Linked DNA regions of Lytechinus pictus. The protein of the gene in region 2 binds, or shares a complex with, the protein of the main gene of each other region. Links are inferred from orthologs where the notes say so. Each region holds a gene or a part of one and is shown on either strand. Other genes may lie near its edges.

The links. The genes of interacting proteins can lie anywhere in the genome.
Region 1: cysteine desulfurase-like (region 2) and LYR motif-containing protein 4-like share a complex: the UniProt entries of both Drosophila melanogaster proteins name them as parts of the mitochondrial core iron-sulfur cluster (ISC) assembly complex. The link is inferred for Lytechinus pictus from reciprocal best matches to the Drosophila melanogaster genes Nfs1 and bcn92.
Region 3: cysteine desulfurase-like (region 2) and iron-sulfur cluster assembly scaffold protein IscU-like share a complex: the UniProt entries of both Drosophila melanogaster proteins name them as parts of the mitochondrial core iron-sulfur cluster (ISC) assembly complex. The link is inferred for Lytechinus pictus from reciprocal best matches to the Drosophila melanogaster genes Nfs1 and IscU.

What each region holds. Positions count from the first base shown.
Region 1 is NC_087246.1:65,512,127-65,519,685, reverse strand, and holds the start of LYR motif-containing protein 4-like, read right to left. Parts: upstream 3,061-7,559; 5' UTR 2,829-3,060; coding exon 2,737-2,828; intron 1,770-2,736; coding exon 1,649-1,769; intron 1,111-1,648; coding exon 1,042-1,110; 3' UTR 1-1,041. UniProt on the Drosophila melanogaster protein: Stabilizing factor of the core iron-sulfur cluster (ISC) assembly complex that regulates the stability and cysteine desulfurase activity of Nfs1 and participates in the [2Fe-2S] clusters assembly on the scaffolding protein IscU.
Region 2 is NC_087249.1:5,200,765-5,208,553, reverse strand, and holds the start of cysteine desulfurase-like, read left to right. Parts: upstream 1-4,733; 5' UTR 4,734-4,946; coding exon 4,947-5,064; exon of another isoform or gene 5,065-5,097; intron 5,098-7,290; coding exon 7,291-7,358; intron 7,359-7,789. Other genes in the region: uncharacterized protein LOC129262526, read right to left, coding at 1-6. UniProt on the Drosophila melanogaster protein: Catalyzes the removal of elemental sulfur from cysteine to produce alanine. It supplies the inorganic sulfur for iron-sulfur (Fe-S) clusters.
Region 3 is NC_087248.1:21,450,206-21,457,548, reverse strand, and holds the start of iron-sulfur cluster assembly scaffold protein IscU-like, read right to left. Parts: upstream 3,061-7,343; 5' UTR 2,837-3,060; coding exon 2,732-2,836; intron 656-2,731; coding exon 542-655; intron 1-541. UniProt on the Drosophila melanogaster protein: Scaffold protein for the de novo synthesis of iron-sulfur (Fe-S) clusters within mitochondria, which is required for maturation of both mitochondrial and cytoplasmic [2Fe-2S] and [4Fe-4S] proteins.

The DNA.
Region 1 (7,559 bases), on a different chromosome or scaffold from region 2:
TCATGAAGCAAAAGTCATACATCAAAAATCTGATACAACACACACACTCAGTGTGACCGATTGTGGGACCGATTGTGGGAGACTGTTCCAGTGAAATTTATCAATGTTGATCCTCCCACATTCAAGTCTTGATACTGCCACACTACTGCATAATTTGACCATGTAGGTCCATAGTTTGAACCAGGAATTATAGTTTAAACCTGATGAATGTAAGTGATGTAAGTGCATGCCAGAAAAAGATGCAGGCTATATAATGACTTCATTCACGAAGGATTGAATCTCCATTGTTCAAGTGAATTTTAGCTATCTAGAATCTTCAAAATAATTATCCAAAACACACTAATTCTAGCTTTTCATGCAGGCCTGTTTTCATGATTTTGTTTTGAACGGATTCTTAATTCTTTATTATGACCATAGACCAATGCTTAGCTGCTTGAATACAGCCATATCCAGAAATATTCAGAAAAAAGGAGAATCTTGGGTAAAGATAATTATTAAAAAATACATTCCACTTTCACCTATCAAAGTTTAAACAATAAACAAGTACATATCTCATGGCAAATCTGGGAAAAAGCATCTGGGTCAAATGACAACCTTTTCATTTTCACTATTGATGACAGGTGTCATATAAAATTTTGATGTTCATCAAAAATCCTTTGAATATTTTTTATCTATTCATTTACCTTGTTTTGAACCCACCCTCCCCACTTTAAATGAAATGCCAGCATGTTAAAAATTGATGACATGTAACATGCACATGACACATGTACACATTATGAGCTTAGGAACAAGCACACCTCAAACTAAAAATTCATGAAATATTTGTCTCCATCTCATTCTATTCCATAGCTGCAATGATGCAATCATTCTTTCATCTGGTATCCTCTCCCTCTGATTAAAATGGGAAACAAGTTCTTCATCAGAAGAGACAAGTAATATTTGGGAGTCAAAATATTGCTTCCCCAAATCCTCAGATACTGTCACTTACATCATCCTTGTTATTTGCATAGGAAACTGTCCAGAAGTTGACACTTTCTTTGGTTAGCTTGTCTTCACTGAATCACTTTCAATAACCAGCTTAGGTTCCCTGTAAAGTTGGCTGATAGTGGCCTTTAAGAATAAGTGAAAGTTAACATTATACTTGACTTCAAGTTAACATTGACACTACTCCTACAACTACTGCTTTTGCTAATGCTTCTACTACTACTGCTACTAATATTACTTCTTCTACTACTATTACTACATGTACAGTAAGCTCCATCCGATTGTATCAAGATTTGTCAGTCTATGTTCAGAGACCCTTCTTTGAATATATGGTTTTTTTTATTAACCTTATGACAACTAAAATCTATATATTCTGGGCCAAACATCCATCATATGGCTTTCTGTAACACAATTTAGTTTGTTTGCCTCCAGACGTACATTGTACATTGATTGATTGTGATTGTGATTTGCAAAGAAAAAAATAAAGAAAAAAAGAACAAAGTAGAGTATCAAAATGACAAGTACATGTATGGGTCATCATGTTACTCTATAAATAGACTTCCCCTTTAGGTTGTCCTGTTGCTTTGCCCCTCCCCCCTTCTCCTCCCTATCAAAATACACTGGCACTACCCCTGGGACTGAATACAGTGTTTGTCTATATTACCTGTCTTCTGATAATGTTCAAATTATCCTCAGCCTTCTTGATGTATCCTTCTATAAGCTCTGGATTTGTTTCTGCTTTGTGTTCTTGAAAGGCATCTCGTATCCTCCTCACTGCATACGTCCTGACAATAAAAAGAAATGAAAAAAAAAAGAAACAGATTAGAACAATGATTACAGGGAGAGAGATAGATAGATTATTAGATAGATACATGTAGATAGATAGATAGATAAATACATAAATAGATATATCAATAGATAGATAGATAGATGCCAAAAATTATAGAGCACAGTAATTTGACATCATAACAATTTTGTTTAAAATTACATCAGTTCCCTGAAAATACCTCATCATTAAGCTAAAATATCATTATAAAAACCTAACAAGGTCTATCATGTTTTTAGTAAATAGCAATGATTTATATAACATTTACCTGCAGGTGCATAGATACTGTATGATGTAGCTCTTATGCTCTACAATTACAAATTACATTGTACATCCATAATGCCTTTAACGGTAAATGCAGCCATTACCATGTCTCTCACTCTCAGGCTGAGCTGAGGAAGGAAAAGTTACTGTTTTCATCATAAAAAGCAAAAAATAAATAAAGTTACACGTCATATGCAAAGTTGGTTTGAATGCAAAGTAAAATTTTGTTTATTCATAAGGCCAGGCCCAAGGGTAAAAATCTACTTTTATATGGCAACATGGTTGTTTTTTTTTGCAGATGAATTTCAATCAAATTGGTCGGATTCGATGAGTGGTGAACTTTTAGTTTTATAATTATACTTCAAAAACATGTCATAATATTAATAATTATTCTACTTTCTTGCTACATAAATTGACCATATTATAATAGAGCACCTATGCTTCCAAGTGATCAGTAATTTACAATATGAAATCAACTTAGATCTAAATTTTGTGAGTTTTGAACTTTTGAGTACATGTAGTTCGTAAAAATATATGAAATGAAAGGTGTTACATAATGAATATCATTACCATACGTCGTTTCGAGTACATGGGACTAAATATTATATATATGTCATACATAAAAAACGTGCATTATTAAAGCATGGAATTTCCACTCTAACCTGTAATTATATCCAGTGAATTTCTGGGCTTCCCGTAGCATTTCTCTGTACAGGCTCAATATTTTCATCCTATGAACTTGAGCAGCGGCCATTTATCCGTAAAATTATTTCTACTGGAGGCTTCACGTTCGTTCAGCGAAGAGTAAACGCAATAGACATCAATGATTGCCGTTTTCGACTTGACTGCATGTGTTGGACCCAAAATAAAATAATGTGATTACTTTGTGTGATAACTCATTCTAAGCGGTACACACTGATCAGTGCGTGGCGATTCAGGGGAAGTAAATGCGGGAGTATATTGCTAATGCACTCCTTACCATCTGTGAAAGAATGATGTAAGTGATTTCATACACACGGGAACGATTTTTGTATTGGGGGTGCTGGTTTAAATTTGACAAGCAAAGAAAAGGGGGGTCGATCGCTACAAAATGATGGTGATTTCGGTACTAGGAAAAATTGGACCCCCCCCAAAAAAAGTTATTTTTTTACTAATACATGGTGAATAACACATGTACGGTACAGTCAGCACCCCAAGTTGAATCTTGGGGTGCATCCTCGATCGCTTCCCAGGGCCATCATGTTCATGCATAGGGAGGGAAAATTCTTATCATTTTTGGTTAATGTATGCACTATATAGGACCCAGATTGGCTGGCTCCTTCAAAAATGCGCCTTATTTGTATCTTTGACAGATATATGGCGCTACTGATAAAAATGCTGTGCATCATCATCATCATCCACTCTACTCCGAGTTGCCATGACCGGGTGCCTCGGGGGGGGGGGGGGGGTCTGTAAAAACGGTTCCCGTTTGCTCCGGCGACAGTCGAATGACTGAATTCAACGGCTGGATTTAACACTATATTAGGCCTATATATCCTATCCTAAACCTTACATCCTACCTACCCTAAACCTTACCCTAATAACCTAACATAATTTTACCATGTATACTATACTAACTCTAACCAGACCGAGACTCCCTGCTCTATAATTATAACCCTCCATCTTAGACAAAAATAAGGCCCGGAGCAAATGTTGTGTCACTATCTAAATTAAGTTTCGCGAGCAAGCATTTGATTTACCAAAAAAATCTGAAAATGAAAGATCCATTTAATATTTTACCCCGTTTTTCTAAATTTTTCTTGGATCAAAATCACCTTCATTTTTTTTGCATGCTTGCTTGCTTGTCAAATTCAAAACAACACCGCCTCTTAAGAATCGTCGGGACCTGACCCTTGATGGCGGGACAGATCCAGCAATGTCCAATCGGAGTGCCAATATGGAGAGTCGGGAAAAAAATTATCTGTCACAAAGGGGGTAGTCCTTGAGACCTTTAACATTTGCTTTACAAAATTATAATCAGTAGATATATAGAGGATTATTTCAAGGACTGACTGACTGATTTTGATATATTATAAACCCGAATAACCTGATCTGAGCACTATTTTTATATTTGATCATAAATAGATCGATACGTCTCGTATCTCGCTAAAAATGCCAAGTGCGAACTTAATTGGAGCAAGCTAAAAAAAATATTGAGATCTATAGACTTAACAACGAAAAAGTATACGATGAGCAACAGCTGAAAATTTTTATACAGCGGGCCTATGGCAGGGGCGGATCCAGCTTTCTCCAATAGGGGGGGCCGAAAAATATTTTCATCAACATTTTTCTCGATTGGCCGCTATCATCTGATTTTTTGTTGGCTTTTCAGGGGGTAGTCCTAACTAAAGACTGAAGTTTTTAGTATATGTTAGTTTTTTTGTTATAAACAAGTTAAGGTATCTCATGTGGTCTTGATATATAATGCTAGCGCGAGGCGCGAGCGAAAATTCTTTGATATTTGATGTCCTTAGAATTGAAGATTCTGAGCAGTTTTTATATTCATGAACAACTAAACAATGCGAGCGCGAAGCGCGAGCCGAAATTTTATTATAGTAACGTGAAAAGGGACTCAATTAGTGATTAGTGATTAATGAAGAGGATACAAGTATCACCAATTTAATAATGAGAGTGCGAAGCGCGAGCTCAAAATTTTTGATATTCCGACCTGAAAATTGAACAGTCTAAGCGCGTTTTTTATTTAAATAAAGAACAGGCTGTGTGTCTCAAACAATTAAATGCGAGCGCGAAGCACGAGCTTAATTTTTTGATATATTTACATGATAAAGGAGCATTTTGACAAATTTTGGTAAAAACTTTCAAAGAGGATAGGTATCTCACTAATCAAACAATGCGAGCGCGCAGCGCGAGCTGAAAATTTTGATATACATTAACAATTTGTGTAAATCAAACATAATAATGAAAGCTTGATGTGTGAGCTAAAATATTGTGTGCAAATTGATTATAGAACTGGTTATATTAAGTGTCATTTAATCCTCTTGAATGGGATTCATTACACAGGCAATGCGAGCGCGAAACGCGAGCACAAATTATTATATAAAGTCTATTTTTCAATTCTTCCCCTCACCTTTTTCTTGTTTCCTTTCGGGGTCGGGTCGGCCGTTTTTCGTAGTTTCTATCAAGTTAAAGAGTATACTTTTTTTCTGCAGGTTGACAAAAAATAGGGGGGGCCGGGGCCGGCTCGGCCCCCTCCTGGATCCGCGCCTGTATGGGTCAACGGTGATCTGAAAAAGGAACATTATTGTTAATGATAATTATCCAAAATCAATAATACAAGCTGAACATTTTTGTATAACATTCAGACCCGAAACCATTTCAAACACTTTTTGTAATAAAAATTAATGAACAAAATGCCTATACAACCAATGCGAGGGCAATTAAGTGTGGGCTGAACAATTTAGTTTGATCATAAGAGCTGAAAACGAAATATGTTCAAGCACTTTTCGTAATAAAAATAATTGTGTATCATACAAGCATTAGTCGAAATGATAGATTTCTGCAACATTACTACGGGAAAAAATACTAGTAATTATTGGAAAAATATAAACATTTAGGTTTTGAAATAATTATGATCCTTTAAATCTTCAAATGAATTCTAATCTTTTGAAACTTGAAATCTCTAACCGATGCAAAAAAAAAAAAAAAACAGCAGCCCGGCAATTTTTAGCACCGAGAGGCAACTGTAGATATTTTGATACAGAGATTATAGCTATTTTAATTGATTTATACATTTTTGAATACCCCCAAATATGCCTATATAAAATGGATTGGATTTGACTGGACGCGGCCCAATTGAGGCCATCAGGCATAAATATCCCTAAAATGATGTCGATCCGGATCGAGCAGATTTAAATTCATCAAAATTTGCAGAATTTTGAGCTAAATCACGGAGCTTAATGTGTAATGGAATTTTACTCACTTTTTTTCTGAACACTTGGAAAACGTCCCTAGGCTGACTGTCCAGCCCTAGCCCCCACCCCTCCCCCTCTACCTCTATCGGTTAAATTCTTTAAAGTATACATCCAAAGAAAATTCACGATTTGTGATGATTATAGACAAATTATATATGAATGGAAAGGTCTTGTCTTTTTATACACAAATATGTCACTAAAAAGTCTTATTGATGTCGTGGAAATGCAAGAAATGAAATTATTAGAGACCATTCTAAGCCCCCCAGCCGCCCCCAGACCGATGAGTTCACGCAGTGAAAACAGTCGAGAATAATGACGTCACACAATAATCGAGCTCATCATCCCTCTAGCTCTGTGCATAATACACTGAATCACCTTACTGACCTCTTCAATATCTTCCGAATTTACCGTTTTCTTCATGTAATGTGACATCCGAATTCTGTTTTCGACAACTTCAGACTATAAGGGAACCAGAACTGTGTTATTTTGCCCGTTTTTTATTGAATTGTGAACTGGAAAGATCGATTTTGTCCACTCGACAGTCTTCGTTGTGTTGCTCTACTAACTATTGAAAAACTCCAAGCTGCACGGTCCCATTCACTTGCTCCCGATGCATGTTGCAGGCTACGCTGTTTGATCCAGTCAAAAGTCAAGGTAAGCATGTTTGGAAACTGTACTTGTTCTGACGATGCATTCAGGTCAGATGACAGATACAGATCTGATATAAGTTTAGAATCATGCATTTTGGCATAACTACTATCAAAATTAAAAAGTTTTTATTTTAGAAATAATGTTTTTGCACAATTCCACCCAAGGGTTCATTACATGCCGCCACGCACAGAAAAATCAAGCCATAGAAGTCGTGTGTTGTGGACCCAAGAAGTGAGATCCCAGACGCCTCCAGGCTAAGCACGCGCAACCCACTAGTTAGAAATCCACTGCCAAACGCGGTTCGTGGTGCGAGGTTAGTATACTTAATACGTGTGAGTGGCACAATTCCAGCAGATTTTTTCTTCAGATTTCTAAAACTGGTCAGGACTCAGGCAGGCGATTAAATTATTTAGGAGCACTGAGTGGTATGGACCATGGCTGAAAATCTGCTGTTTCAGAGGAATGTTTAAGTTTTTATTATACACAGAATTACACACCATGATGCCGATGTCATGAAGCCAGACAAATTTTCAGCAGTGATTACCCTGATTCCTGGCCAAAATCACTCACACGTATTGCGAGGTTAGTATTAGTATACTACTAGTACGTATTGCGAGGTTAGTATTAGTATACTAACCACGAACCGCGTTTGGCAGTGGATTTCTAACTAGTGGGTCGCGCGTGCTGGGATCTCACTTCTTGGGTTCACGACTTCTATGGCTTGAATTTTCTGTGCGCGGCGGCATGTAATGAACCCTTGGGTGGGCCAAAATTAGAGTCTGGTGTTACTTTCTGATTAGAGTGTTGCTGCATATATGTATGCGTAATGCCTTCAACAATGAAGATAAATGCAATCTTTGTAA
Region 2 (7,789 bases):
CGACATGGCTAAGTCATGGTAGCTTGGGTTCCAGTAAACATTGATCTAGATATGGGTGCAAAGAAAGAATCAAGGAGGTTACATCAAGAAAAACAAGAGGAATGCCTCTGGCAGTTTTACCTGCATTATGCAATTCATTATAGCAGCAGAGCCAATTTTGAAAACAACTAATATGAATAATTACAAAAAAAAATTATTATTCACAAAAAACACAATTCATATGATAATTAGATTAATTCATTGAACCTAAATGACCTTTGACTGTGATCATGTGACCTAAGACTCATCCAAGACGATCAGTGATATTTACCCTTGTTTCATGAACTACATCCATAAACTAGTATCCCCACATGGTCAACACTCATTGACCCTTAATGACCTTTGACAGTGACCTAAAACTCATGTGAGACAATCGGTGATACTTGACTCTGACATAAGTATGTCCCAGTTTCATGAAATAGATCCAGAAACTTTCAGTTATGGTGGCCAATTCAACATATACCCTGACATTAGGAAGATAATGTTAGTCTGATCTACTAGTAAGTTAGCAACCTAACGTTAAACATCTATCTGAGACTGAGATTACTCGATCTGCTCAAAATACATGCACTCTCACATGCCATGCCATCCAGCACAACTGGTGTCAACAGGTGATTTTAATAACTCACGTTAGTCATGTGCACTGCAGATCACACAAATGTGAGTTTCTAATGTTATGCGACATAGCTGCATGAGACCATGAGCAAAATTTCTACTCAACAAGCTGTAAAAGAGTGGAACGATCTACCTCAAGAAACTGTAAAGGCAATGTCATTGGAAAGTTAAAAAAATGGCTTGACAAATTTTGGTGTGAATGAGAGACCGCTAATTCGAGATGCACATTCAAGTTTAAATTAACCATAGTCATGGAACAGGCTAAATCTAGTAGAAGTAATCAACCACAACATTACAACCAGATATCTACATTTAATCCTATATTCATCTGTATATCCTGATGTGATATCATACATAATTGCATGCACCATTAATGAAAAATCCTACTTGCTAAGTACTATCCAGACGGGGCTATTCTAGCTCAAGCGAAAAAGGAAAAAAAAAAGTTCAAACGTCTGGAGCCACACTGGAAAGTGTCAGCATAAAACAGGCTGATTGGGAAACGGCACGACAGGGCAAACTAAGCCTGCAAGAAAAATGTGATCTGAATTGATTTTCAGCTCGTATTTAAGATCAAGAAGATGTATGAAAAGAGAAATTCTGAGACTTCTGTTGATGCTAAGGACAAGGTAATAGCATCATTAGAAATGAGGATTACGAGATAAATAGCAAACCCTCATTTTTTGTGTGTGTTGAGATTGCAATTTCCCATTGCGTTTACTAAAATTGAATTTCTGTTGGGAACAATTTTACACTGTGATCTGATTTTCAAATTAAAAAGAAATCATACTATCAGAAAGTGTCAAATTTACTATCTGGCACTCTGTGGACAAGTTTTTGGCAGCCATCAAGAATAACAGCTCTCGGCACCCATTTGATTTGGATTTGTGTGTGTCCCATACAGCCTAAGGCAGAAAAAGCTGAAAATCTGTCTGATTTCATTCTTCTTTTTTGTGGTCATAAATTGGAATATTTCATAAAATATCACATTTTTGTTATTCTGAAGGTAATTTCAATTATTCCTCTTCACAACCATAAAGCACATTCCAAATCCAATTTTTTTTTCTCCAGACAAAATTAGTCTCCAAAACAAGTTTGAAGTTCCAGAATTTTAGAAATCTTATAATGATTTAGATTATAGTAAGTTAATTACCATACTGTATGTTTTTGGATCTTATTACCAAACACTTTTCATAATATCCAATCATGTCAAACTTCATCAAACATCCACCATGAACACACAAATAGACTAGATCTAGTCTACAGGACTACAGGTAAATACAGATATAACATTTTTGCCCAGATCAATTTTCTTTTTTACCTTCTGATCGCACCCTGTCCCCTCTTCACATGTGAAATATTTTGGTCACTTAAAAATGGTATTGTATTACCAAGCTAACGTGTGAGTTTTGTGGGAAGAAATGGAAAAAAATAAAATAAACCACTGATCAGCTTTTTTTCACCATGTTTTGTTGTTTTGAGAAAAAATTTGTTTTGGACCTTTTTCATCATCTTTCTTAAACGTAATATTGAAATTACCTTTGAAAAGATGTTGCAAAGTTAAAAGCGTATTGAATTTCTGATGTGTAATAGAGCACGTTTGGTAATACAAGGCTGGTCGACATAGTGAGTGATATTGTCCACCGACCTGGCTTGTATTACCGAACACGCGCATCATACACATCAGAAAGTAATTTCATACGCTCAGAACATTGCAACATCCTTCACATGGTCATAGAAAGATGATAAAATTTAAAAATTTAACCAAAAACTTATTTTCAAAGTCTTTGTATTCTCAAAGTAAGAAAACATTATAAAAATAGCTCATCAGTGATTTTTTCATCTTCTCCCATAGAAAACACATGTTTGGTTACAGGGCCCCATCTTACAAAGAGTTACGATTGATCCAATCAATCACAACTATGGAAAGCCAGCAACGTCAACATCTACATTACATGTTTCTTCAAAATGTTTTCTAGAATATGAGGTAGATCTATATTCATACATTATAGGCCGACAGTACTGTTTTCTTGACAATTCAGTATGCTCCTCTTTGTTTTCAAACTCAAAGGACATAAAATACACAAATAATGAAATAGGTCTACGGTATACCTGTATACCGTAGACCTAGTAGTAAGTATTTCATTATTTGTGTATTTTTATGGTGAAAGAAAAACACTGAAAGTTTGGTGAATTTTATTATGACAATAGACCGAAGTTAGTGACTGTGCTTTATATTTAAAAGTGTTCGGTAATCCGGTACTAGCCTAGGCCCACTCTAGGCGACACCGCAATACTTACCCGTGTTAATAAAGTGGGACTCCGCTCACGCGCGTTTGGGCCTCCCTAGCTTAGAACTAAGCACTAATATCACCTTAAAAACTAAATCTACAAGGTATGTATAATCTATTTACAACTTTAATAATGTTTAATCGGTACTCACCGGTTCTTTTGATGTATTTTCTCAAGAATTCCCACGGATTTGTCTCAAATCTCGCGACAAACCACGTCGCCATAGACAGCTGCATATTCTTTTTTATTTATAAATAAAGCGCCCCTTACGATAGTTGTTAACAACGCGGCCAAATCGTTAGGTTTTTTGCACTGTGTCCAAGGCTTTTTTATTTTGTTTGATTTTTTATTTTTTAATAAATATTTTGTTCAATAGCGATTTTTACGTCAAATATTAAATTTATATCATAAAATATTTTTTAATTGTAGAAAAATACATAATATTATGCAATAATTTATTCTATATATATTTTATAATAAAATTTATAATTGTTGCGGTCTTTAAAAAGGATAGTCGATTGATCAGGTGATGACCACACGTATCACGTGATCTGAAAATCAGCTTCATACCGCTTTGATCGCACTCGACGGTGACCGGACTGACTGCCAAAAAAAGATCGAAAATGACTCAAATGTAAGTTTCCCTTTATTTTATTAAATTCAAATTAGGAATAGGAATATATTTAATGGGCAATCTTTTAATAAATGATAAACAAACGAGGACAAAACTCATATTTTGGGAGTAATATCATACTTGGGTGCAGGAAACAGTACGGTTAGAAGTTCTAACCTGTTTTTAACGCATTGTCGCCTATGAGGTCCATACATGCTAATGTTTGGACCTCATTGGTACTAGGAGTGCCTAGGCCCTATGTATGTATGATTTGTATCAGTAGGGTGTCTGAAGCCACACTGAAAAGTGTCAGCATAAAACAGGCTAATTTAGGGGAAAATATGGCACATTTTTTCAGGGAAGTTCAGGCTACTAGAAAAATGTGATCTGAATTGATTATTAACTTGTGTTTGGCATGTATGGAAAGAGAAAATTCAGGGGCATCTTTTGACAGTAAGGACAAGTTTATATGATCATTTTGAATAAGGATTTAGAGATAAATTGCAAACCCTTATTTTTGTGTGTGTTGAGATTGCCATTTCTCCATGCGTTTTCTATGGGAAAATGAAATTTCTGTTTTGCACAATTTTTTTCACTTTGTCGCAATTTTTCATTGTGATCTGGTTTCCAAATCTTTATGAAAATCATACCATCAGATAGAGCATAAAAAATCCTATTGGACTCTTTATGGACAAGTTTTTGGCATTAATAATAAATTTATAACAGCTCTCGGAAGCTAAAAATTTGGATTTGTGTGTGTCCATTTCTTAACTACACTACACAGTCTATGGCAGAGAAATGCTGAAAATTTACCTAATTTCATTCTTCTTTTTTGCAGCCAATAATTGGATTTTTTTCAAAAATTTTACATTTCTGTCAGTCTGAAGGTCATTTCTCTTCAAATTCACAAAGAAAATGTGATAATTTCTTGAAATAAGAAAAATAATTTTTTTCTCCAGACACCCTACTAGTATCAGAACTATCATGATTATTATACGATCGTAATGATCCACTGCTCCAATCGCGTAGTCACTCACTTTTGAAAAACAAAACAGGTGGAGGATGAACGATGAAATTCAAGAGATGAAAAGAATGCAAAGTTTCCTTGGCCTCGGCTCGGGAAACTGGTAGGATACAGCTCCAAATAAACGAGGGTCATGTCACTAGTCCCGGCACGGCCCCGCGCCCCGGACGTCGCCACTTCGTGTTCAGTCTATCTGCCGCACGCAACCTTGCGCTTGCACGTGTTCGAATGTTCTCCTGCGACAGTAAAATTTCTTTTATAATTTGTCCACTTGATAACCCAGTAGCTTACATTGCATCACAAATTAAGTTTTCATAACTCCGGGAATTGCTTTTGACAGACAAGTCCTGGAAACAAGAAATCATGATCACAATATTAGGAAAAAGATCTGTTGCATCCTGTGTGAGGGTTTGGAGGTCATCATGTGTTGTATCTTTAAATGATCCCAATTTGCGACAAGCTTCCAACGCAGCAGCAGCAGGCAAGTTTCGACTCTGTTTCGTCTTTCAGTTTCAGCTTTGCCTTGGCTTTGGCTTCCCCCGCACCTTCGCGCGACCCAACATATACCGGTAGCCGGTGCGCTTCTCCTCCGTACGGTACGGTACCTGTACGCGCCCCGGCCCCGTAAGCTCGGGCTGCCCCGCGCCGCGCTGGAGCATAGACAGTCGACAGCTAGCTGAGCTGAACCAGCTTACCAGTCTGAAAGAAACAGTGGAACAAGAAGAAGCCATGAACTTCGAACAGCATTAACAGAGATTGAAATTTTCAGTCTAATAAAACTAAAAGTAAAAGCTAAGATTAGCAGATAAGTGGCCCGTAAGTCGTAACACAAAGCTTAGCAAGCCAATGGCAATGCTATGGCAATGATCGTAGTCGTACTCGTACTAGTCACTACTAGAATATTTTTCTACGATTGATTCCATTGTCTACGATGTACATCACTACAGTACATGTACAATCAATCGTGAAAATCAAGCGTATGATTAATCGCTAACCTTTGCTTTGGCTTTGTGTTACAGGCCCCTGAATTGATTGTCCGTGATGCTGATGATATTTGATTATTGAAAAAAAAAAAAAAAATTATTGCATGAACTTGAATTAAAATGAAGTTGAAGTGGTTACTTTTGTTCACGGCAAGAGTTCACGTTTTATTGTGGCCACTGTTGTTGACACTGTGTCTGTGACTGAATGAGTGATAGTGTGAAAAAGAATGCAGAAGACTGAAGAGTAATGAATCCTGAACTGAACAAGGGCAGAGCAGAGAGAGGAGAAGTCCCGGGGCGGGGGGAGGTACTCGACGCGAGACAAAAAACTGGGGCCTTGGAGCGGCTTATTGTTAAAAGGAGGGTCCTCAGAACTACAAATGTTTGTGAAAACGGGGTCTTTGGAACGGGTCGCCTGCGTGTGAGTGCGTATGCATCCCTATGGACTGTGCATGCAGCTAGCCCGGCGACACGGGCGCCAGATGCGCCAGGCAATAGTTGGACAGCGCTCTGCGGCTGCTTTTCTTCACCAAAATTGCGGCTCATTGTAGTAGATCAATGCGGCCGGAACGGCGTAACGGAAAATATGCGAAGCTTTGGAGCGGATTTCTTTCTTTTTTCTCGATAAGAAAATGCTATGCTTTGGAGCGGCTTTCTTTGTTCTTTTTCTCAAGACAAAAATGCTACGCCTTGGAACGGAAATTTGAGTGCAAAAATGGGGGTCCCCTCCACGGTACATACCTAACTATGCATTATATACTGAGTGCCCCCTCCAGGGGAGAAGTCAGATTAAAAATAAGGTCTATGTGATGGTGGTCCCCAAGTCTGCGCACCTAACGATTTTGAGTTCAGATTTAACATGAATTTCTTTTTATTTCACAAAATCTTTCAGTTAATAATGTTCTTAATGAGTAAGTGTACCAAATATCTCGTACAATTTTGAAAGAAATTATAGGAATTTCTTGGAAAAAACGTCGGGCAGTCATTTTCAGATTGAAAAAAAAATGGTACCACATGTCTGCGCACCCATTCACTTTGCACACGATTCGGGTATTTTGATGAGAAAGGCTCCATTTAGAGGCCGTCACATGAAATGCCCCAAATTAATTATTTTCCCACCATTTTGAGTCAGGATTTTTTAATGAATATCTGGCTATGTGTTGTATGTGTAAATTTTGTGTTCGTTGCGTATCTTCTTTCACTAGAATCGCGCAGATACGCGTGTGCGCAGACAAGGGGGACTGCGTAGACTTGGGGGAACTTGCCATATACATTGTACATAACTTCAACTTGTTCAAAGTCATAGATTTTTATAGAGATTAAAAGTGCAACAAAAAAAGAAGACCGGAGTGGAGACGGAGAAATAGAAAAGTACATATCTGAAGAAGCAAATTGATTCAAAAGTTTAATTTGAACCGTCATGAAGCATCAGAAATTCATGACCATTCAAATTACATTTTTAATCAATTTGCTTGTTCAGATATATGTAGACCTCATGAGCATTGCATTGCAATATGATTACTTGTACATTTTGTGTGATCTAAAGCTTGACTAAAACATTTTCCCTTGATGATTTTTATTCACCCTGGGCTTGTGGGGCTTGTGGGGCCTGGGGTAGTGAGTTTGTAGAGCGATCAATACTGTTACATTGTTGATGTAAGATTGTTAGTAATCCTTTGCTACACTCATTCAAGTTTTGATCTTTATTTGTTTTTTATTATCAGATGTGAAAGATGAGAAGAGCCTTGAAGGAAGAGCTCTATATCTGGATGCTCAGTCTACAACACCACTGGTAAGAATGTGACTTCTCAAGCTTTGTATCCAAAATAAGTCCCAAGAATGGATTCTCTGGATAATGTAAAAAAAGATATGGTCATGTAGGATATAAAAATAAAGATATTATAGTCTGTTGAATTAATGCAGGCCTGCAAACTACTTTTTTCCAGGAGCACTCTGTTTTCATTTCTTTAAGATGAAAAATAAATCAGTCCATTAATGTATTAGTGTAGTGGGTTTTTCTTTTCTACACTTGTAATTTCATGGTAAATATGTCTTAATTTTTTAAAAAAGTGAGGGAGACACATTGGACATCGAGCAGAAAAATTTGCTTCTAACGATTGGGACTCCTTTTTTCATTTTCAAATGTTGGCTTGCCTGTAAATGTTGTAAAGAAGTTAGTCATTTAGTATATGTATACATCTGCAAAATGATTTTACCTTTACT
Region 3 (7,343 bases), on a different chromosome or scaffold from region 2:
GGGTAAAGGGGGAGAGGGAGAGAAAGAGTAAGAAAAACAAAGAAAGAAGAAAGAGAGAGAGATTAAGATATCTTTTTTTTCTTTATTATAGATTATTTCAGAGCAATTACCTATTTCTTTTACCCCAGTGAGTACACAACTTTGGTATGGAGAGTAATCTGCCTTTGTTCCTCAAATTGGCACGGTGTTGCCAATTTAAAGTCAGTGCTGATAATGCAAAGTCAATTGAGACTTGTGAGCATTCAAGATAAAGAAAAATACTGGTTACATTCTTAGGAAAATCCTGCCTGATATCTCACTGATTTTACTATTTAAATAAAATTTAAAAAAAAAACAAAAAACACCGAAATGAATGAATGAATGAAAAATGCTTTGCAAAATGACTTATTGATATTCATTTTATACTTTGAACTTGACATCTCTAGATGTTGTCATTAACAGCTGAACAATATTTTTTCATAATTGTTACTTAACCTTATATTCTAATTTTACAGTCAGTCACAAGAATCATAACGGAATAACTTTCTAAATCAAAGCTTACCTGTAGTTTCATGACGTCACCACATGCTGGTGCACCAACCAACCCTGTGCCAACATTCTTGTCATTCTTGTCCATTGCTCCAACATTCCTTGGGTTCTCGTAGTGATCTATCACCTAAGAATACAAAGATAAATAGGAGATGAGATCAGTTGGATCAAGACAGGTTAGACTAAGATAAGCTTCACGATGGATTACTACTTGCACACATTTCTTGCACTGTGTGATTGACAAGCAAGTAGCAGATGCTTTGGAGAGTAACCTTGCATTTAAAGAATGAAACGTTTGGAACGAGATAGCTTGTGTGAAAACAGAAAACTCAAAGAAACTGATCAACGAAAGTTTGAGAAAAAATCAGACAAATAATGAAAAAGTTATGAGCATTTGAATATTGCGATCACTAATGCTATAGAGATCCTCCCATTGGCAATGCGACAAAGATGTGTGATGTCACTTGTGAACAACTCTCCCCATTTCTTTAGTATATATTTCACTTGAACTGCCTCTTTTATTACATCTATCAGTAGATCATGTGTTCTTTCTGTAGGAGGGCATGTAATACAGATTTTTAAAGAATACATCATGGATAAAGAGTTTGTATCACCATAACAAAAAGCAAAAGGAGACATTTTGGGGGTATTTTATAGTCCATCAAAGAAAAAGTTGTTCACATGAGACATCACACATCCTTGTTGCATTGCCAATAGGAGGATCTCCATAGCATTAGTGATTGCAATATTCAAATGATCATAACTTTCTAATTATTTGTCAGATTTTTCTCAAACTTTCTTTGTTCTTATTCTTTGATTTTTTCGTTTCGACACAAGCCTACTTATTCCAAAGGTTTCATTCCCCTTTTAACTACGTTTCAAAGGTATTGTATTTATTGGTAGACTCTACCCATATTTTATCAAATAATCATAAGAATTGCACATAGGGTCTACAAAGAATTTAGACACAGTTATAAAACTACTGACGAGCTGAATTAAGGTTGTGAATATTAATAGCGCGGCACTTTTAAAATTAGCAACCCTAATTTAGCTCGTTAGCGCCACCATCAGGCATGTCGGGCTTCCTTTTACTTCTGTGGAAGAGTATGCAACACCACTTTCGAGCTTTCCAAAAAAGTAAGCAACTTTTCTATTCTTTAAATTGAATTTCAATGTTTAAATCTACTTCTGTTATGAAGTGATGTTTACTGACTTCTCAAAAATCCACTGTCACTGACTCACGGCACTGACTGTGACGTGTAGTGCCTGGTTAGTATAGCTATAGCTAACCTCGAATTGGGCGACGTGATACACATGCAGGCAGGCTCGCACTAACACACTACCATGACTACCGTCGGTGGGTGGGGATTACATACTAAAAAATGTAAGAAATTGGGCGCTAATGCAGTTTCGCACCGGCCGATTACCAGCATACCTCATCACCACTAAATTTACTTGTCCCCAAATGTCATGACAAGTCTCTCAGTCACATTTCGAGGTCAATATATACCTACCTCTTTTCCAAATATCGCGATCAGGAACGGCTGTATTTCAGCTTTGATCTCAATGTCGTTGTTCGAATCCTCAGACATCACTTCACGGATCTTGGCCTTGGATTCGCCGGGCACCGTAATGTTGATGGACTGAAGTTAGCAACCAAATCATGCGAACATGTGGCGAACTGCCAGCATGCTGCAGCTAGGCGAATCTTTTGCCTTGGTCGCATAACTTCAGTCCAAAAAGGTGGGTATATTGACCTGGAAATGTGACTGACAGACTTGTCATGACATTTGGGAACAAGTATTGGTAATGAGGTATGCTGGTAATCGGCTGGTGCGAAACTGCATTAGCGCCAATTTTGAGGAAAAATTTCAGACTTAAAACTTTTCCATTATTACAAAATGGTATTGGTATTACATGTTCCTATTTATAGGGACATGAGAAAGGGGCTTAACATTATACCTTACAGTATTGTTAAGCGTAAGCCCCTTTCTCATGGTTTGCTGCAACTAACTAACTACACATTTGACCGGAAACTGCCACCTGGTTTTACCAACTGCAACCTTACACACAAACTCAGCTCCGCGCGCTCTCACTCGGCTTTGATACTAGTACCAGTGGTAGTGGTACTGTAGCCGTGTAGGCAGCCTTCTCATCTCATTCTTCTCATAATTTTCTGGTCGCCACAAAAAGATGTACTCACATTTTTATGATACGAGGCTGATGCAGGAACCGGTTGAACTAACTTTGTTGCCAGTAGAGGCCGCAAAGTCTTCCCAAGTAGTCGTGCATTGCTTGAAATTGGCATTTTGATGTCACAAATTTGTATTCGTCGCAGTCAGAATAAGCGAAAACAGCGGATTGCGTAAAGTTGTTTATCATTATCACGTGACACATGTCACGTCACATGGCCTATGGGTAAATATTAATTAAAATAAGGATTTCCCCTCTCAGTCTCTCTCCCCCCCTCTCTCTTTTCCACTCTTTCGCTCCCTCCCTTAATATTATGTTATCATAGACCATTTTATCCACCGTAATACATTGGATGAAGACAGAGAGAAAAAAAATGAATCTACAAATAAAAAATGAATGAATGAATAAATAAATTAATTAATTGAAAAAAAAAAGATAAATAAATGAATGAATGAATGAATGAATGAATTAATGAATGAATAAATGAATGAATGAATTAAATGAATAAACAATAAATCAATAATTAAATGAGAACGAAGAAATAAACGAGACAAAAAGTTGAATAAGTAATAAATAAATGCATAAATTACTTAATGAAATAGATAAAGAAATTAAGCAACGAAGAAAAATTAACAGTAAGGCAGAACTTCCAATAGGCCCTATATATATTTATGCCTATTTTTCTATTTTTTTGTCAAGGATTCTAATTACACTATACATAATAGTTGCAAATAGTGGCAAATTAACACGTATTTCTTCTTTTTCATGTACACGTACTCTACAGTTGTAAATATTGGCATTTCTTTATGTATTAGTTTCAGATTATATCAATTGCAAATTAAGACTTCATATTTCTTTTTGATCCTGCAGACCTGACAAGCTTTGCTTTTTTTAATGCAGGTTCCCTAATATTTCACCATATTTTGAACTGTCCTTGATTTCAAATCGCCGTATTATTTAATTAAAAAGATGAATATGCTGCCATGTCTTATTTTTCATACGATATTCATTCGGATGTTATATAATTGTGTGAAATATATGTAAGTCAATCACGTTACTATCGAAAATATAGCTCGATACGCCGGCATCGCTTTACATTCTCACGTTCAAGTATCCTAGTAAATGATGATAATAGACACAATTTTTTTTTTTTTTTTTGGGGGGGTCCTTTATATTTTTTTCTTGTTTTTTTATCATTCTGTGCAATAAATCACAGATAATCAATACAAGTAGGGCCTAATTGAGAAAAAGAAATGAGAGAAAAAATAATAGAGCAATAGAATTGTCATCATTTGGAAACAATTAATACGACATATCAATTAACAATGATTAACAAGTAGTTAATGTAGTCACTTTGTCTCTTCTATATACGTATTCCTCATCCCCTATAATAATATTAAAGGGGAAGTTCACCCTGACAAAAAGTTTATTGTGAAAATATCCTAGAAAAAAATAATAAACTAATATTGCCGCCTGAGGTTTGAGAAAAATCGATCAAAGAATAAACAAGTTATTCGAATTTTAATTATTTGATTTGTGACGTCATATGCGAGCAGCTTTCCTACAATATGGCAAAATCAACTGATCAATGAAATGTCATTTTCCCAGAAAATTGAAAATGTTTCTTTTTCTGTGCCTTCAGTATATCAATAGACAATGATTCCGCACCCGTTCCTAAAAAGAAACCAGGAATATTCACGGCCACAAATACGGACCATTACAAAATTGGATGCATTTTATATTACATAACATGTTGGGCTACCCGTTGGGCTATTGCTCGTTTATGACGTCACAAATCCAAAACTTAACCATGTTAAAATTCTTCTCAAACCTTCACCAATATGTTTGATTATTTATTTTTTCTGCCGGCTATTTTTACAACAAACTTTTCTACAGGGTGATCGGGCCCCTTTAAAGGCAAGAAAGTAGCAACAGTGGGATCTTTGCACGCGTTGGGGGATAGTAATGACAATATTATGATTTCCTTGTTATTTTCTTTAATGTAAGATTTTCATATTGCACGGTCATTATTATATAGATGTTATCCAAGAACTATTGCTTTTTTATTAGCTTATCTAATTTGAAGGAAGGGGAGAAAATTTATTATTACGATTGTTGAATTTAATCGCACGAATGGGCAAGATTGCAACATCAGCGCGTAAGAACAAGTTAGATTCAGGCTCATCAAGACATTGTTAGTTGTAAAATAATTATGATAGTAAATAACTTACAACTTAAATCTAAATTCCGAAAATAATTTGTAAGTTTATTATTTTTTCTTGGCAATATGAGATGCGAGACACTGCTAATACCTCGGTCACATTTGCTTTACGGCAGCCGTACGGCGAGTCGAAAGCACCCGTTATATTCATTTTTTCAAACCACCTATATGAAGCTGGTACACAAAATATTTAACGGCTGTTTTCGATTCGCCTTACGGCGGCCGTAGAGCAAACGTGACCAAGGTATTATATGATTGATATTTCTTTCTATGACATTTGAGGGATGAACGGGAAGATAGCCAATCGTGGTGCATCCCATCAAAGTAAGATGGGTCACTCCAAGGGCTACCTGTTCCCTCTAGAAAAATTCCTCACAGACTATTTAAGCTGTGGAACCTAGGGCTACCTAGGCTCGTTATTTTCCTTACTCATTAGTTTAAGGCATGCCGCCGAAGAGGGCACTCAACCATCCCAACCAAAATAAAGATATTTGTTGTAGCAGTTAGTAAAGAGATGCAATGTTATAGATTGCACATTAATTAATAATCCATAGGTGCTGTGCTTATATATAAATGCGTAACCTGGTTGGTAATTAATTGGAAGATAATGAGACTAAAGATTTTTGCGTCTTGATTTTCTGAATAGATTTTTATCCGCATGTTTGCCTGTAAACGATGATCAATCACAAGGAATGATATTCATAATTACTCATACATATTTATGATGTATGGTAAGCCATATGTGCAATAGGAATACAGAATCGCTTGAATAATTCCAAGTGATATAAATGTGTTGGTTTGTTGAATATGAAGCAAACAGGATAAGATATTTAGCTGGTTACAATTTAGGTCAAAACCATATGACTGTCTCGATCCGGGGGAGGAGGGGGGGGGGTGGGAGATATATCCTTAATTATTTGTAGGTGGGAGGGGATGACCTAAGTTATCATCACCCAATAATTCGATAAACATCATAATATATTTCAATATGATGAAGCGTATGACATGTACGATCATAATAGAATGACAATGATGATGATGAATAATAATGATAATAATAATAATCATCATATCAATAATAATACTAATAACATTACTACTACTACTAGTAGTACTACTACTACAACAACAACAACTACTACTACTACTACAACAAGTAAAAATAATAATAACAATAATAATAATAATAATGATGATGATGATGATGATGATTGTACGTCAAGATGGTGGTAGTGATGTTTATTGTATTTACGCTTGATGACAATTGAAAGTGTTTTTCTCATAATGTTCTTGATCGCTTTAGAATGAAACCACTCATTTTTGAAACTGTTACAAACATATAGACGGAAAAAGAAAATAAAAATCAGGATCAAACAGAATAACATGTTCATGTCTCTGTATTGATATATCATATCTTTTTCTTCAAAATTCCTTTTTGTTACCTCTTCCTGCATGCAACCAAGCAAAATGCGGTTTGTCCCGTTTATTTTACCAACATTTGGCATATAATTCATTTTTCATAGTTTTCCTATTCTGGTTAATGATGTGAAATAATTGGAGAACACACGAAATTTGTGAGAAGTAGAGTGTAAGGAAAGAACCTTGAAAACCGATAAGAGTCCTGAAAATAATTTATTTCCAGGTCAATTAAAAAAAAAAAATTAGCTCGAGCTTTAATTGCGAGAGCATTATTGATCTGATCCTATAGTCCTAGACGAACACAACACTGGAAATATCTTGGATGCAAGACGAACTAAATCGTATTTTGAGCTGTTGTCTTGTTTCATTGTAGGCCTGTAACACTCTTTTCAAACACAAATATTTTAATTTCTCTATAGCAATGTAAACGGTTTATATTGGTCTGCAATTCGTTGATTGATCTACTTCTCAGGAATAATTTCTGATAGTCTTATCTGATAGCATAATATCACGGTTTTTTGTCAATTTCGTCTTATTGCCACAATGGTCTACATTTTTAAGGCGTTGCAATTTATTCTCTTCTTGAAGATAAACTCATGTAAAATTGATTTGTCGATCAAGTTATGTGAAACCCCGAAAACCTCCTGCTTTTGCGAATATGACATCTAAATTTGAGTCATATTTGCATACTGAAAGCTTAACTCTTTAATTTTAAAGAATAAAATCAAAACAAAAAACACACAAAAATCATGTATATCTTTGATTTCTCACCCCCTTTTTATTTTTATTTTTTGGTTCAGAGATAGCCATGAATTTAAATCAGATACTGGAGAATCCATTTGTTTTCCCTTATTAAATCTGTAAGTATGAGCGTATTTTATTACTAAAATACAAATAAAAATTGGGCGAAGTAATGTTAATTAAATATCAAATATTTTCGAGAAGCTGTATTCTTTGTCGCGTTTTGTTTTAAACTGTTTTT